Ovis aries: one gene and its partners. The protein of the gene in region 2 interacts with the protein of the main gene of each other region in a biochemical or structural test. Links are inferred from orthologs where the notes say so. Each region holds a gene or a part of one and is shown on either strand. Other genes may lie near its edges.

Region 1 (6,029 bases), on a different chromosome or scaffold from region 2:
AATAGACATATATACTGTGAAATGATTCCCACAATCAAGTCAATTAACACATCCATCACTTCACATAGTTACTTTTTTATTTTGATGAGAGCACTTAACATCCACTCTCTTAGTAAATTTCATGTTTAAAATACAGTATTATTAGCTACAGTCACCATGCTGTACATGAGACCCTTAGAACTTTTTGTGTAACTTTTTTCTTTTCCCGCTCTTCCTGCGTTTGTTTCTTGAGCTAAGAACTGTCTGCTTTGTTGGTTTGAGTCATATTCCCTAATGCACATAGAAATGAAGAAAGTGAATAAAGGAGCAGAGTTAAAGAAAGGAAAAGAAAGGGCAAGAAGGGCGGTCTGGATCAGAGAAAAAAAATCAAATGGAAAGAGGCAAGGTGGAAGAAAATGATGAGGGATGAAGAGGATATAGGCATTTTACGATGTGCAGGTCTCTTTTCTCAGCAAAATTGTGGCATTGTTACAGCCCATTAACTTGATCCTGCCCAGCTCCCCTTGGCATCCGCTCATGTATTTCTTCACTTCTGCTTTAGTCCATGTCAGTGTGTGTATCTATGGGCAACCTCCCAACACCACTGCCTGCAGGATAGTCGTTCCCATGAGTCTTATTTCATACAATTCCATTTTAGTTTTTATTAAGAAGCCTAGTGGACTCTATAGTTAGACATGTCTGGTTTTAAGCCCTAAATTGATCACTTGGGCAATTGCTTAATCTCTCTGAAGCTCGGTTTCCACATAAGTAAAATAGAAAGAGTAATACGCCATTGTTATGGTGTTCTTATAAGAACATAATGAGAAAATTCCTTCTTAGTGTTTGGTATCTTGTTCACTTTTTTGTAAAACAGTTGTGTTTTAAATAGTATTGTGATTTTTATTATTGTTACTGTATCTTCTCCCAGAAAACGTCTGATTTTCTTGTCCTCTTGCAGAAAACAATGAACTCCCTGCCTGTCCCCTTTCCACCTCTCCAAACCCAGCATTCCCCAACTCTAAAAAATAAGAAATGGAAAATTTAAAGCACGCATTCCTCCCTGGCTTATATCTGAATGCTCAGTGCCCTGCCCTTCACTTTTATTCTCATTCTCCTCAGGGAAATCTAACTCCTACAAATCCAGATAGCAATTAGCCCATGGTCAGTAGTAGCCTCAGTTTTGTTTTGCTTTCTCAGCACATTAGCCATGGACAAGAGAGGACCTGTTTCTTTCTCCTATTCTTTTTGCTGCTGTTTAGTGGCTAAGTTGCATCTGACTCGCGATCCCTGGCGAGTCCGCCAGGCTCCTCTGTCCACAGGATTTCTCAGGCAAGAATACTGGCATAGGTTGCCATTTCCTTCTCCAGAGGATCTTCCTGACCCAGGAATGGAACCAGCACCTCCTGCTTGGCAAGCAGATTCTTTACCACTGAGCCACCAGGCTAGGCCTTCGTACTCTTTTCAGGCTCCTCCAAAACAAAATCCTTTCAAGCACCAGGAGTCATGCCAGTAAAGTCCTAAAGAACGTTGCCTTTCCAGATGCAAGTTTCTGCCTGACACTCGCATACTGACTTTGTATATCTGGGCACCCTGGGTTCTACTACATGAGGAGCCCATCACTATCTTCTCTGCATCATGCCAGCACTACCTCAACATCTTTCCTGTTTTCCTGGTGTTCAGAGGCCAGGTTGCTCTCTCCTCTGGGCAGCTGCTCTGCAGATATATCCATTGACTGCTCCCTTTCACTAATGATTAGTGCTCCCTAAAAAATAAAGCTACCTTTGATTCTCACCAAATCCTGGCTTTCTTCCTCAAAACCAGCCCATGCAAGGAGCTATAATTTCTTCATTTGTGTATCCAGAGACATAAGCATTTTGGTGGGGTGAGGATCCATACTTTTTATCAAATCATTGAAAGGGGCTAAACTTTAAAAGAAATTATAGACTGGATAGTATTGCATTGCTTAATCAGCTAATACCTCTTAATTAAGAAGCTAAGTTGAATGCAATCACTTCAAAAAAGTTTTGAATTACATTTTTACAATTTATCAAATTATTTTACTTGCATAAGTGTGTATACATATACACATTTTTACATATCCAAGTAAAATAATGTATATAGTATATACAGTATATATGGGACTTCCCAGGTAACTCAGTGATAAAGATCTGCCTGCCAAACAGGATGCGGGTTTGATTCCTGGGTCAGGAAGATCCCCTGGAGAAGGAAATGGCAACCCGACTCCAGTATTCTTGCCTGGGAAATCCCATGGACAGAGGAGTCTGGCAGGCTATAGTCCATGGGGTTGCAAAAGAGTCAAACACGACTTAATGACTAAACAACAACATACAATATGTATACTATTATCTGTATAATACTATGTATATACTATACATATATAGTATACATGTATACTATATAAATATAGTATACCACTATAATGAGATTAAGTGGGGCTCAGAAATAAGTGGGGCCAAATTCAAAAATTTGGAGTTGTCTTATTGCAAGATTAGTGAAAAACTGTCTTACAATTACGGGGAGAGGGGAATTTTCATTCTTCATTTATTTAATTTCATTCAATAAATATGTCGGGAAAGGAAATAGACCTACATTTATGAGCAGGGACATCCTACACTGAATTGAGACGGTTCCAAATAGTCAGAAGGCAGACCGTTTCCTAACACCCGCCCCTCAGAAGTTAAAGACTTCACAGCCCCAGCAGAATGGCAGGGAAGACTCTGGTTCCAGTATTCAGGTTAACCATAGATCCCCCATAACCAAGTGGGCCTATCCAGTATGTCCCCTACATACAGATGAGTCCTGTTCTGAGAGTGCATTCATAAGTTCAATTTGTTCATAAACCCAACAAAGTTAGCCTACAATTGACTATACAGTACTGCAATGTAATAGGTTTATAATACTTTTCACACAATACATTAAAAATAAGCACAAAAAATAAAGAAAACACCTTTAACCTTACAGTAGAGTACTTGAAAAGCACAGTAGTGCAGTACAACAGCAGGCATACAGGGGCTGGCATCGAGTGAACAGGCTAGAAGAGTTACTGACTAGAGGAGGAGGGAGGGGAGGTGGGAGATGGGAGAGCTGAAGGATCGTCAGCAATGGGAAACGGAGAGCGAGCCGCAGCTTCACTCACACCTGGTGTTGACAGCACAGGTTCTGGCTCTTTGCTGGATGCAGCTCTATCTAACCCTCTTGATAAAAATGACCCAGTGATGTCTGGGTCATAGCTCCTTTGTTCTCATCAGAGATGACACGGTAGCACTGCACTGCATTCTGAACGGCTGCTGGCTCCTGCGTGTACTGTTCTATGTCCAGGTCCTGTGCCTCAAAAGCCAACAGTGACTCCTCAGATAAAGAAAACCTCCTTGCCATTTCCTGCTCCACTTGTAGAGAATGCACACACGTGACAATGTACGCCAGACACGTGAGCTAACTTCCGTGACTGGACATGCAAACGTACATTCGCATCTTTGAAAGTTCACAACTTGAAGGTTCATGGGGACTTCCTATACAAGTAACATTATTGCTTGTGAGAAATATAGATGCGCACACACACAACCCTTGTCCCAAAGGCACATCATATGAGATAAAACACGGTTCTCTAAAAACATCTTAGGTCCCAGTGCAGAGCTGAAGGCAGCGGTACAGATGACCCCCTGTACTTGTGGTTGTCTCCCCCAGAGACTCTTGAGGTCCCTTTGATGAAGCTCTTAGGCAGGGCTTCCAAGTCCTTCAAAGACTTTCTAGTCCTTTTAACCTCACACAACAGAGTCCAAGTTTTTATCATCTTCCTTCCAAATGGCTCCTTTTTCCCCATACCAAACTGCTCCCAGCCCTGCTCTGCAATCTTTAAATCCTGACTAATAGGAGGAGGTGAGAATCATACCCCCGTGCTCTTGAGCAGAAGGCCTAGCCTCATACCAAGCCAAATGGAGTCAAACAAAAGCCAGTGACCTTAAACATCTTGTACACTCTAACCCCAGAAAGCCTTCCTTCCTGACTTGAAAGTACCACTGATAGTACTCCTCTCCAGATAAAAATTGTTTTCTCACTTTTTAATGACATTTTTTTTGTTACTTAAAGTTTGCCTTAGTATGTACCCATATCAATATATCAGGGCTTCCCTGGTGGCTCAGACGATAAAGAATCTGCCTGCAATGCAGGAGACCTGGGTCCATCCCTGCATTGGGAAGATCCCCTGGAGAAGGGAACGGATACCCACTCCAATATTCTGGCCTGGAGAATTTCATGGACAGAGGAGCCTGGTGGGCTACAGTCCATGGGGGGTCACAAAGAGTCAACTGAGCGACTTTCACCATCACCATCGTCATCAGTGTATGCATATTTACATTCTCTGAAGAATTAATTATCTTCTCCCTTGGCTCAAAGTACATTGTAAAGTGGATCTTACAAGCTAGAGAAACATATTATAAGGCAACACAGGAATTCCAGCCTAGGGACTTCCCTGGTTGTCCAGTGGTTAAGAATCTGCCTGCCAATGCAGGGGACATGGGTTCCACCCCTGGTTTGGAAGCTAGGATCCCACATGCCTCAGGGCAAGCTTGGTTCACCGCAATCACCAAGCCGGCTTTCCTAGAGCCAGTGCTGGGCAACAAGAGAAGCCACCGCATCGAGAAGCTGTGCACTCGTGACTGGAGAGCAGCCCCCATTTGCTGCAACTAGAGAAAAGGCCAGGTGCAGCAACAAACACTCAGTGCAGCATCGAACACTCAGCACAGCCAAAAATAAACTTTTTTAAAAAGAATTCCAACCTGTTGTTATTGTTCAACAGTCAAATTCAACTAACACAGTATTTCTAGTATTAATCTGGCTATGTATCAGGGATGCCTGTGATGCACTGTTAAAGTGCAAGGGTTCCACTTCAACCCCCGATTCAGTAGATCCAGGTAGTATGTATATTTTTTTATGAAGTCTCCAGGCCAGGGTGATGTTCAGCCACTGCTGAGAACCACTATGGTGGGTACTTTGGAGGAAAGACCAAATCCCTGATAACAAATCCAGCGGGTCCTAGCCCTAAAATAGTAAGCTCATGTCCCTCATTCCCCAAAACAAAACTCAAGTTCCAAGATGATGTTCAAAGTAAAAGGCTGAGCCAGAAACCCATTATAGCCATTTATTTCAGTGACAGCATTTTCCTACTTTCAGGAGCTCATCTAGATAAAGGACTAGGAGGTAGAAGCAAATGCAATTATACTTTGCCTCAGGAAAGAGCTCTGAATGCTGTTCTATCATATTGCCAGAGATCGGGACTAGAAAGTAAATCTGAGAAAATGCTATCAGAGGCCCCTTTTCATTAATAGAAATGGAAACAGGCTTTTATATGCCACCAGTAAAGAATCCACCTGCCAATGCAGGAGCCGCAGGTTCGATCCCTCGGTTGGGAAGATTCCCCTGGGGGAGGAACTGGCAGCCGGCTCCAGTGTTCTTGCCTGGGATAACTCTATGGACAGAGGAGCCTGGCAGGCTACAGTCCATGGGGTCACAAAGAGGTAGACACAGCTGAAGTGACTGAGCATGGACAGGCACACAGGAAATCAGTTGGGGAGGAAAGGAGCTTGGAAGGGCCTGCATTGCAGTTATTCACTTTGGGCATCCCCACAGTTGGTGACGGCTGGACCCCACACGTTCCTGTCATCCACCTGGAGCGAAGGGAGGGAAGTGTAAAACCTGGGAAGGGGCTATCACACTAACTGCTAAATCCTCATGTCTAGTGTTTGCTAAAGGGGAGCAGAAGCCAAGCAGAGCCAGACATTTCTAAAAACACTGTCAGCTTTGGTGAATTTAAAATGTGAGAGTGTGAATCAGGGTATGAGTTGCTGTGTTTGTATGTGTCTGGGTTTACATAAATCTGGACGCTGGGAACTGTTTTCATCTGAATGATCATTTCCAAGACGACAGTGATTTAAAATGGGGGGATTCCGGTAAGAAGTAACACCCAAAGGGATTTCTTAGTGACGTTTGAGAGTTCTGTGAGTCCTTTCTCCCTAGTCTCCTTTTGGGCTGTT
Region 2 (5,507 bases):
TAAACATTTATATCATTAACTGAACTTTAATTTGTGCCTATTCTTTTGAATATATATTTGATTTTCACTGTGGTTTCTTTAGAAAAACAAGGGGTTAAAAAGATTTTTGAGACTATGGTAATTATGAATTTCAAAATCAAAGGAAATGTGATGTTTATGAAGTTGGAAAACATATATTCAAATGTTTCATTTGAGATATTAAGAGTTCAGTTTTTTCAATTTTGTTTTTTTGTTGTTGTGTGTATGTGTGCTACCAAATAAAGCATTCCTAAGACAAGCATGACATTGTCTTATGGGAGCATGCCTGTCAATTCTGCCATGTTAAAAATGTCATTTAAAATATCTAAGCAGATTGCTATGTATTTTTTCTGAGGGTAAGGAAACAATTCTGCATTTCTAACTGCTGTTACTGTTATTAGATGAATGAGGCAATTTCTGATGAGATATTTACCCAAATGATATTTATATCAAAATATTTAAAATAAGATCAAATTCAACTTTAGGATATTAACAATTAGACCAGCCAAGTATATGGAAATTGACTTTTGCTGAAAAATCAGAATGAGGAATATTGCATTATTCTGCATGTATGTTTAGCTCTGATGATGTTAAATGTTTGTCTTTATTTGTATCCTCAGGTACTTTCCCAGTTGTATTTCAACACTTTCATAAAATATAATAGGAAAACATAATGCATGTCATTATTTTAGCAACAGGAAGTTGAACAAATGCATTTTTTGGCTTATATTTCTAATAAAAAGTAATTTTGATTTAAATTAGCACTATCTTTTTTTTTAGGCCTCCATTCCTTTGAAGGAATTGGAGCAGTTTAACTCAGATATACAAAAATTGCTTGAACCACTGGAGGCTGAAATTCAGCAGGGGGTGAATCTGAAAGAGGAAGACTTCAATAAAGATATGGTAAATTGGTTGTGATAAAAGTGTGAATGAACTAGGAATGAAATGAATAAATATTTCAAAGGAAATTAGATAATTCAAGTCTCCAACTAAATTCTCAGAGCATACCTTGTACATTTTGTGATTCTAATGATTTATTACAAATGCAAAGTATTGTTATTGAACTGTTTTGAATGCCAAATTACTATGATATGGGCATACAGGAGTACTTACAGATTCTAATAAATCACTCAACAATGTTTTGTCCATACTCAAAGGACAAAATGTAATGGATGGAAAAAAAAAGTCAAATCAGAAAATGAATTAGAAACTTAATAATAATAATAATAATAAGGCACAGCCATCAGAGAGGGCTGATATTTTGCTTCAGTCCTATTTTTGGTAATATAACATTTATTTTGGATAAGGGACAATTATACATGATATAAACATTGTTTATTAAAACTTAACACAATGTAGTTTTACAAAAAAGTTTAACAAGTATTATAGTATATATCTAAAATATGTGTAAATTCATGCTGCTTATTTCATGGGAAAAAAGAAATATAACCATGTGGGTTATTCCCAGACTCATTTCAACATGTCTTTTATGTTTCTCTCTGGCTTGAATGTTTCTGCCTCACATTCCTTTTCACTGACTTATTCTTTCTCCTTACTCCTCTTCACTCCTCTCCTTTCCCCTCTCCACAACCATCACCTATATGGCATTATTAACCTTTACATATGTCATGCTAGAGATTTCTCAGACATGTATCAGTGCTAGAGACTTCTCAGACAGTGCTTGAAAATGATATCAGAAGGTAAATTATAAGTTGTAAATAATAGGCACATGAAGCAATAGGAGAACCAGTTTTACCAACCTCAGTTCTCGTTGGTATCATGTCTGATTTCCTGGAGCTGCCTAACTCAGTACTCCCTGTGTATGGGTTTGATGATCTTGCCAATTCAGCTCATGGAAAGAAAGACCAGACACACCTTTTTCTAAGATACCGAGCTACAACTACCTCTTATTCATGTCAAAGAAGAAACCAGAGGGCACCAAGTTGGAAAAGAATGCTTCTTACCTCTTGGGCTGTTCACCAACTATGCCCTCTAGCTCTCAGCTGGTGTGGGGAAAGAAGTGCAGTAGGGGTTTTGTTTGTTCATTATTTTTATCCTCAGCCCCAGGAAATGTTTCAGATTTTTAAGGACATATTCTTAAAAGGAAGGTTTTTCAAAGACTGTAAACATAAGTGTCTATTACACTATTTCATTAGACAAATAACTGGCACATCTCAGATGAAAATCTCATTTCCTTAAAAAAATTGAATAGTTTCTCAGTTGTGTATAGAAGTTAACATATGCATTAGAGATTTAAGTATGCAACATTGAATGCCATGGATGATTATAAACACAAACATGTCGCATTTAAAAATTGTCTGCTTCTCTTAATTCATCAGAGTATCTTGGGTACTATTAAAAAGCAAACCTTCTTGATAGAAAGTATATATATATTGCATTGAAAGAAAAGATAGGAAATAGAAGTGAAACATCCAATGGTTACATATGCTACTCTATTGGACCAACACTGTTTAAATAATTCTATTTCAAAATAAATAAAATAAAAATAATTTTCTTAGAGTCTAAAGACCAAACTGCATATTAAAAATATTTAAAGTCATTTTTCTAATCCATATTTAATATTAATTGTATTTATTTAAAAATAATGCATATGTGACATATTTTTAGAAATTATCTGCAATATTTGACAGCAGTTGAGCATGTTTTTTTTTTTTCCTAAAGCTCCAAATCATTTAGTTTAAGTAAAAAAAAAGAAAGAAAGTTGCTCAGTCGTCTTTGCGACCCCACGGACTGTAGCCTACCAGGCTCCTACATCCATGGGATTTTCCAGGCAAGAGTACTGGAGTGGGATGCCATTTCCTTCTCCAGGGGATCTTCCCGACTCAGGGATTGAAACCAGGTCTCCCGCATTGCAGACAGACGTTTTACCATCTGAGCCACCAGGGAAGCTAGTTTATGTAAAACAGAACTTATTATATAGAAATCAGTGTACACTTAAAACAGTGTATTTTCACTTAGGAGTGTGTGTTAAAATTTAAAATTTTACAGTCTCACATTCACAGAGCCACATCTATATTCCTCTGTGAAATAACATTATATGTAACAAGTTTTGTTTTCTTCTCCAAAGTTTTTTTTTTTGTTTTAATTTCTAGAAATGCATTAAAAATCAAAGGCCAAAGAATGCTTTCATAACAATTCACTTGTCTGAAATGATGTAGTAAATTGCTCCCCCATCTTTCTACATACAACTCTAATCAGATGTGTCCTTTTGAAATAGACAGGAGGAAACTTCTTTTAAAAGTTAAAGTATAGCATATTAAAAAAGAAACTCTGAGTGCAGTATCTTAGGATAGCATTCCCTGAAAGTTTTAAATTGGAGTTTTTGTATGTGTTTTAATAACATGTTTTATTATCTCTGTTAAAGATGTACAGCTTTTTTTAAACCAAAATGAAGACTGTACTTGTTGTTTTTAATCAGAGTGAAGACAATGAGGGTACTGTAAAAGAATTGTTGCAAAGAGGAGACAACTTACAACAAAGAATCACAGATGAGAGAAAGCGAGAGGAAATAAAGATAAAACAGCAGCTGTTACAGACAAAACATAATGCTCTCAAGGTATTAGAGCTAAAATTATAATATACCTTGCCTGTGTTTTTTTTTTTTCATGTACAGGGTAAAATCTATTGTTCATAAATAAAATTTGCTTAAGAATCTTAGTCACCAGAAATACATATTTTTTTTTCTGTTCAGTGTCTGTGTTTTAACAATTTTGAGTGCTGTCTTTGATTTTGAAAGATGTGCTGCTTAAAAATTTCAAGGTATTTACTTAGACACATTTTTCTGAGTAGTAATCAAAAGATATTAAATGCATCATTCATTTGTTCATATATTTAATTTTGTAATACAACCTATTTTGTAAGTTATTTTGACATGTGTCTTGAAAAACCTGTTTAACTGTCAGCGTAACCAATTTGTATATTTTTGAGGTTTTCTGCTCTTGATATTTTCTTGATTTAATTCAGAGTAGGTTCACTTTTTGGGGTAACCTAACATTTGTTTAATAGTTCATTTTTTTTTTCAGTTAACTTCATTTTGCCTTTAAGAGAGTTACTCTTTGCAACTAACTAAACATTTAGAAGTCTAATTTCATTTATATAGGAGTCCTCTAAAATAATCTTAATGTCCATGAGAAAGAACCGGTGCTCTCATTTTAACCAGCATTAGTATAGAGCTTCAAGTACCCATGTGTCTCATCTGGAATTGCACAGGAAAGACAGAATAGAATATTGGTGTTTATATAATATCTAGAAAGTTCTTGAGAAGAGATGGGACATGTGAAAGATTCTGTGAAATAACCTTTTATTTTTTAATGTGCTTTTCAATATTCACTATTTGCATGCATGGCTGATTTTCTAATACTGTTAATTGCTGAGTTTTTCATTGTAAATCACTCTTTTAGAGCTGTGTAGCCACGTAGGTGGATCCACCTTATAGGTGAATAGACTCTGCTTTCTATATGCAAATAAGAGTATAAAACCTTTTCCCATATAGTCAGACAACCAAATAAACACTGCTGAGAATGTAATTACACAATATTGTGCCTGCAAGGAATCCACAAGGAAAGTCTAATTGGCCAGCAGGTGTTCTGAAGGTAACTGCTGATAAATATAGGAAATAGAAAAGGCCTCTTCCCTGAGGGAGTACAAGAGCAAGCCATAATGTGCTCAGAAAATCAGAAAGCTGTGTAATTCACATGCTTCCAACTGTGACCAAGCTTTTAGAAACATCTACACTGGTCGTATGATGATATGTGTCCTACTGAACAGCAGTGTTTAATGGTTATCTGGCATACCTGTAAAGAAATATCTATAATATCTCTTAATATCTTTACACATTACACACCACCTTGTGCTTAGGAAATAAAAATAATTTCAGATTTGGTGACCACAAGCCCTTTCTCTTGGCGAAGATGTAAGTTGCGTCACCAGTAAGGCATGGCTCAACTCTCTTTCACGTGGCTGTATCTTGGTACCTTTGAAAAAAGCAGCATTCCATCTGGCTCATCCCAGGCATTTATTACTTCCATAGGAGGTTTAGAAATTCAACTGAAAATGTAAACTGTAGAAAATTTTACATCCCCAATTTTAAACAAAATGCAGAATGAAATCAAAATCATTTTTCTCAGATATATGTTAAAAGCAATTAATGAAAATCAACACTTGCCACACCAATATACTAAATTCAGTAGTTATTAATCTGCCAAGTGTTCAAGTCTAGTCCTTATGAAATATTTCAAAGAAGGTGAAACTTTCCAAAGCAGTGACTATTTCAGCAGTTCTTTGATATTCACTCTTTTCTTTTGCTCCAGTTATATCTATACATGAAACCCTAATTGCTACTACTCTGAAGAAATGGAAACTGTATCCTGAGCTCTTATGTTCCCTTATAAAACATGTAAAATATATTCCCTTGTAGAATAGCATTACAACAAATTCTGTTGATCAGGGAAGACATTGGATGATCTTGT
Region 3 (5,966 bases), on a different chromosome or scaffold from region 2:
CTTGCACCGCCTCGTCATGGGTGGCAGAGGAAAGGTCCTCCCCATTCACGGACAGGATGGCATCCCCCACAAAGAGGGCCTCCGTCTGGTCAGCTGCCAGGCCCTTGAAGATCTTGGAGATGAGAATAGGCATCTTGTTCTCTCGGCCCCCTGGACAAGCACAGAAAGAGGAAGAAATTGAGGCACACATTCCAACACTTGCAAGTCACAACAAGGCAAAATTATTTCTGAAGGTCTCCCACTGTGTCCAGCCCAGTACTGGGAAAGCAGGAGTGCGGGGCAAAGAGAATCTCAGAAAAGAGCCTTAGAAGTTTGGGGCACTAATAATACCTAAAAGGCATTTTCTAAATTTATAATGTTATAATGGATCTTTTGGTTAAGTGCTTTGGGTGGTCACCAGTGTTGGAAGAACTTACAAGATGCTTCAATAACTTCTTATTTTTTATTTTACGTGAGTTTCCCATAATGGGGGAACTCACTGATAACCTCTAATTGAGAATAAAGATAGAAGTCAGTTACTGCTATGGCCACAAAGCTGAAAGCTTCACAACCTAGGTCTCAGGCTAGAAACCAGGGCTTTAAAGTCTAGAGATTTCAAAAGCCTATCTGAATTGCATCTCTGATGCAAAAAGACAAAAAAAATCAAATATTAATACATTTTACCATATTGCTTTATTTATAAACTCTTGAATGTCCTTTAAAAATAATAAACATTGATAACAGTTCACATTAGTTCCACATACCAAGTGCCAAGCACCATGTTAAATGCTTTCAATCTTGTCTCATTGCATCTTCACAATACCCAATCACACAGGCATGTTCAGATTCCTATTGGGAAGGTTGAAGTGTGGAGACAAATCCGTTGTCCAAGGTCACCCAGCTAATTAGTGGCAAAGACAATATCTGAACCTAGGTCTCCTGGTTCCAGAACCAACACTCTTAACCCTCTGGTAGGCTGCAAGTCAGGCCCTCAGATACCACACTATTGCTCCATCCTCAAAGATGAGGAACAAGTGGACCAGGGAGAGGAGGTCATAATTTCAAGGTCACTCAACAGACTGGTAGCCGAAGTAGGACTGGAATGCCTCTCTGGACCCCCACATAGGCCCAGCAGTTTGCCCACTGCAGTGCACAGAGCTTGAAGCCTAGGAAAGGAAGGAGCTTCTGTTTAAACAGAGTTGGCCAAAGTGTTCATACGAGTTTTTCTATAAGATGATATGGAACACCCCAAATGAACTTTTTGGCCAACCCAGTATCTCTCTGCCCTCTTCCACCTGAAACTAGGGACTTCAAGTCAGTTTGAATCCATGGCCATTCCTCGATGCCTTGGGCTGGGCTGGACCCTAAAGGAAAGGTCAACACAGCAACAGGAGTCCAGTCTCCATACAAAAAGAATTGAATGGAGCTGGTATTACCCCTGACACCTCCTAAAAGTCCCTTTACCCCCACCTGGGAGTAAAGCTAGGGAATAACTTTATGTGACCTTGAAAAGTCCTCTTCCTCTCCAAGACTCAGTCTATCTGCAAAATGGAACGCTATCTGAACATTAAGTTCCTTCCTGCTTTAACACAGAGTGTACAATTTCTGCCTTGATCTGTTGCCCTAACCCACACTGGTGTTGAGGGCAAAACAGGTGTCCACTCCCTGGCTTTCTCATTACCCCCCTTTTAGATCCCTTTGGTTGGTTGCATGGAAGTTTGGAGTTTTTCCAAACTTTCCTCCATCTTTGAGGATGGAGCAATAGCGTGGTATCTGAGGGCCTGACTTGCAGCCTACCAGAGGGTTAAGAGTGTTGGTTCTGGAACCAGGAGACCTAGGTTCAGATATTGTCTTTCCTTTTCCTGGGGAAAAATCAACTTCTCTGAACACTCTTTAGTGGCTGGATAATTGAGGTTCAAATGCCAGCTCTGTCACTCATCGACTGTGTGATCCTAGGAAAATCATTTTACTTTTCCAAGTTTCAGTTTCCTCACCTGCTAAGTGAAGATTATACTTCCTATCTTTTGGTACTTGTTGCCAGGATGAAGTGGATCCTGAGCCTAGAGCACTGGGCATAGCGCTCGGCACACAATGGTACCCAAGTCACCACCATCCCCACCCCCTCGGGAAGGAATGGTGAACGCAGCGGCTGGGGTGTGCAGACTTTTCAGCACCAGGTTACTAACTTTGGGAGTCTTTCTTGACTTTCATTTTTCCTCTCATCTAACAGCAGTAACTATCTAGGCACCTATTATGTGTTGGCAGACTGAGTATTTTGGACACCTATTTTCGTAGAAACATCCCAATTCTATCATTACTCTCATTATATAGTTGAGGAAACTCAGGTCCAGAGATGGAAAAGGGCTTCCCAGGTGGCAATAGCGGTAAAGAACCCGCTTGCCAACGCAGCGGACATGAGAGATGTGGGTTTTATCCCTGGGTCGGGAAGATCCCCTGCAGGAGGAAATGGCAACCCAGTATCTTTGCCTGGAGAATCCCAAGGACAGAGGAGTCTACCAAGCTACAGTCCATGGGATCTTACCACACAAGTTCACACAGGTTGATTCTGGACTTCAGTCTGGGTGGCACCTTAAAGAAAGCTGTCAGTACTGGGGGCTGAAAGCCCATCTCAGTGCTGTGATGGTGGACACTTAAGACTCTTCACCTATACATACAGGTTTCCTAGGCGCTCAGATTTCCAGGTCCTTTGTGGCCCCCTGTCTGTGAGCCCAGCCCAGTTGGCACCTCCACCTAGTCGCCATCCCAGCAACGCTTCCCACTCCAGACCTTGCCCCTCCTTCCCTTCTGTTTTGACTGTCTCTTGAAGACTTCCTCCTCCTTTGCCTAGTAGCACCCCAGGCCTCAGTCTCCCTTCTCTATCCTTTGCTCTACTGGGGTCCCTCTTGTCCTTGATACCCATGCAACTCCTGAAAGGCAATCAGTGTCAGACCTCTTTGCCTCAGCACACAACTCCCCACCCACTTGTCCTTGGCGTGCCCCCAAAGCCGTCCACACCTGTGCCCTCTGAATGAGACCTCAAAGCCCTCTCTGACCTTGGTGCTCTGGTGCCCTCGGTTCTGTCCTCCCAGAAGCCGTCACCCCGGACAGAAGTCCACCAACTCCACGTCCTCAATACGCTGCCAGCCCCCGCGATCCCTGCGCCTTAGCGGTCCCACAGACACCAAGACCCGTGCCCTCGTTGCCCCCGCGCCCACCTTTGATGCTGATACCCAGCCCGCCGGCGTCGGCCTTGCGCACCGTCACGCGGCGCGGCTGGAGCAGCAGCGCCTCCGGCAGCGGCGGGGACGCGGCGCCCGGTTCGGCGGCGCCGTTGAGCTGCGCGGGCTCCGGCTCCCGCTGGGCACCGGGCTCAGGTCCGGGCTCGCCGTCGGCGGGGCTCACGGTCAGCGCGTCCTCCTCTAGACTGAGCAGCACCCGCTGCCACCGCTCGCCACCAGCCCCCGAGCCTGCCCCGGCGCGCAGTTCCAGCAGTCCGGTGCGCGGGGCGCGCCTGCCTGACGCCATCTTCGCCTCCGAGCCCCCGGGCCGCCGCGCTCGCCCTGCCCCCGCAGTGCCCGGCCAGCTCCGACCCAGCGCCCAGAGCTGAGGGCAGCGGGGGCCCAGCTGGGCCAGCCGCCACCCTACCCCAGGCCGCTGGGGGTGGAGCATCGGTGGGCGGGGCTGCATGTGGGTGTGGCTAACAGCGAGGGGCGTGGTCACCGGCAAGCCAGAAGGGGCTGTGACGGGTTCCAAGAGCCAGAGGATATACTGTGAGACTACATTACTTTGCCCACAAAGGTCCATATAGTCAAAACTATGGTTTTTCCAGTAATCACGTACAGATTTGAGAGTTGGACCATAAAGAAGGCTGAGCGCCGAAGAATTGATGCTTTCGAACTGTGGTGCTGGAGAAGACTCTTGACAGTCCCTTAAATAGCAAGGAGATCAAAACAGTCAGTCCTAAAGGAAATCAACCCTGAATATTCATTGGAAGGACTGATGCTGAAGCTGGAGCTCCAATACTTTGGCCACCCGATGCGAAGACCCGGCTCATTAGAAAAGACGCTGATGCTGGGAAAGATTGAGGGCAGGATGAGAGGGGACGACAGATGATGAGAGGGGACAACAGATGATGAGATGCTTGGATGGCATCACCGATTCGATGGACATGAGTCTGAGCGAAATCTGGGAGATGGTGATGGACAAGGAAGCCTGGCGTGCTTCAGTCCATGGGGTCACAAAGAGTCGGACACGACTGAGCGACTGATGACAACAACATGGGCATGGGGACATAAGGATGTCCGGATGGGACCCAAAGTTAAGGCAATGAGAGCGTGAAGTGGGGTGGGCGGGGCCCTGGGGGCCCGGCTTCGTGTCCCGGGCTGGACCCTAAGATCCTGTGCAGGAGACAGCCGGGCGAAGCCGTCGAGGGCCGAGGCCGTAGCTCGCAGCCGTGGGATCACGAGAAAAAGATACAGAACCGTGGATCGTGGTGCGAGGCTTTGAACTTGGGTGTGGGGCTGCATATGGCAGAGCGCTGGACTGCAGGGACAGGGCTTGAGTTTAAGAGGCAGACATCGAGCTGCAAGGGACTTCGCAGGCGGGCGTATAGTGCAGGAGATTTGCGGGTTTCCGCCTGTGGGGCGGGAACTTCGGTCTGTGGGTATGGCTTAGTGTGGGGTGCGGTGTCTAACGCTGACAGGCCCCGCCCTCTGGGATAAGCGCGATGCTGGCTGTTGAGGGATTGGGCAAGGCGTAACACTCCCCGCGTTGAAACTGGAAAGGAGTTGAAGAGATTAACCCCCTGTTCTTCACAGTCGAATACAGAAAAGCCTGAATTCCACACTGGACAGAGAAGAACCCAGAACTCCTGGTGTTGGGGAAGACGGCTGGAAGGTGGGGCTTCTGGATCTGGACCTCTGGAGACCTGTTTTTTAACCCTGTTCAGAAACTGTGAGCTCCATATCGACCTTGGTCCTGGCACTACAGTTCTCTAGGCCTCAATTACCTCATCTGTGAAATGGGGGTCCTAATAACCCCTATAACCCTCACAGGGACTGTGTCAGGATTAAATCAGTGGGAAAATATATTTTACTCTGTGAATCTTATGCAATCAATATAATCACTTTGTTTTTTATTGAATCCAATTTTATTTATTTGTTGAGTTGGCCAGGCCTAGATCTGAGCATTTTCATGTGTTTTCTTAGCTTTACAGTAGCCTCGTGAAGTAGCTACAGTTAAGAATACTTCCGTTATACCGAAAGGAAAATTTTGATTCAGAAGATCTAATTGGCCCAGTTCACACATTTGTGAGTAGGACAGAGCTGGGATTCAAACCTAGTCTTGTCTCATACCAGTGCCTGGGCACTGACCCTGGGCACTAGACAGATGAGGTGTGATCATTACCAGAAAAAACACACTACCTCACAGACCTCAACCAGCCCTCATATCTACTCTGTTTCCATCTTCCACTCCTACCTGGGATGCTGTTGGACCATAAATAGGGCCACATCAGTGTATAGATTCCCTGCAAGTAGAATCTTCCACATAAAATACTATCAAGGGGAAGAAAAAAAAGCTCACAAGAAAACAGGTGCAGTGGTACAGAGGAGCCTGTTTTCAGGGCAGGAATAGAGACCCAGACAGAGAGAAGAGACGTGAGGACACAAGGTGTGAGGGGAAGGAGGGGGTGAGCTGAACTGGGAGCGCAGCATTGACATACATACACTACCATGTATAAAACAGAGAGCTCGTAGGAAGCAGCTGTACAGCCAGGGAGCTCAGCTCGGGGCTCTGTGATGACCTACAGGGGTGGGATGGGGGAGGGAAGGGAGGTTCAAGAGGAAGAGGAGATATATATATGTGTACACATATCACTGGTTCACTTTATTGCACAGCAGAAACTAACACAACATTGTAAAGCTATTATATGATTACTCCAATAAAGAAAGAAAGAAAACAGGTACGTATACAAGTTGTCCTCATCA

The links. The genes of interacting proteins can lie anywhere in the genome.
Region 1: the proteins of DMD (region 2) and DTNA form a complex in vitro, tested with the Homo sapiens proteins (3 studies listed by BioGRID and IntAct, with this or other methods). The link is inferred for Ovis aries from reciprocal best matches to the Homo sapiens genes DMD and DTNA.
Region 3: the proteins of DMD (region 2) and SNTA1 form a complex in vitro, tested with the Homo sapiens proteins (2 studies listed by BioGRID, with this or other methods). The link is inferred for Ovis aries from reciprocal best matches to the Homo sapiens genes DMD and SNTA1.

The regions. Positions count from the first base shown.
Region 1 is NC_056076.1:22,643,633-22,649,661, reverse strand, and holds the start of DTNA (dystrobrevin alpha), read left to right. Parts: upstream 1-2,436; 5' UTR 2,437-6,029. UniProt on the Homo sapiens protein: May be involved in the formation and stability of synapses as well as being involved in the clustering of nicotinic acetylcholine receptors.
Region 2 is NC_056080.1:31,680,343-31,685,849, reverse strand, and holds part of DMD (dystrophin), read left to right. Parts: intron 1-798; coding exon 799-921; intron 922-3,457; coding exon 3,458-3,595; intron 3,596-5,507. UniProt on the Homo sapiens protein: Anchors the extracellular matrix to the cytoskeleton via F-actin. Ligand for dystroglycan.
Region 3 is NC_056066.1:62,923,776-62,929,741, forward strand, and holds the start of SNTA1 (alpha-1-syntrophin), read right to left. Parts: upstream 3,594-5,966; 5' UTR 3,505-3,593; coding exon 3,195-3,504; intron 151-3,194; coding exon 1-150. UniProt on the Homo sapiens protein: Adapter protein that binds to and probably organizes the subcellular localization of a variety of membrane proteins. May link various receptors to the actin cytoskeleton and the extracellular matrix via the dystrophin glycoprotein complex.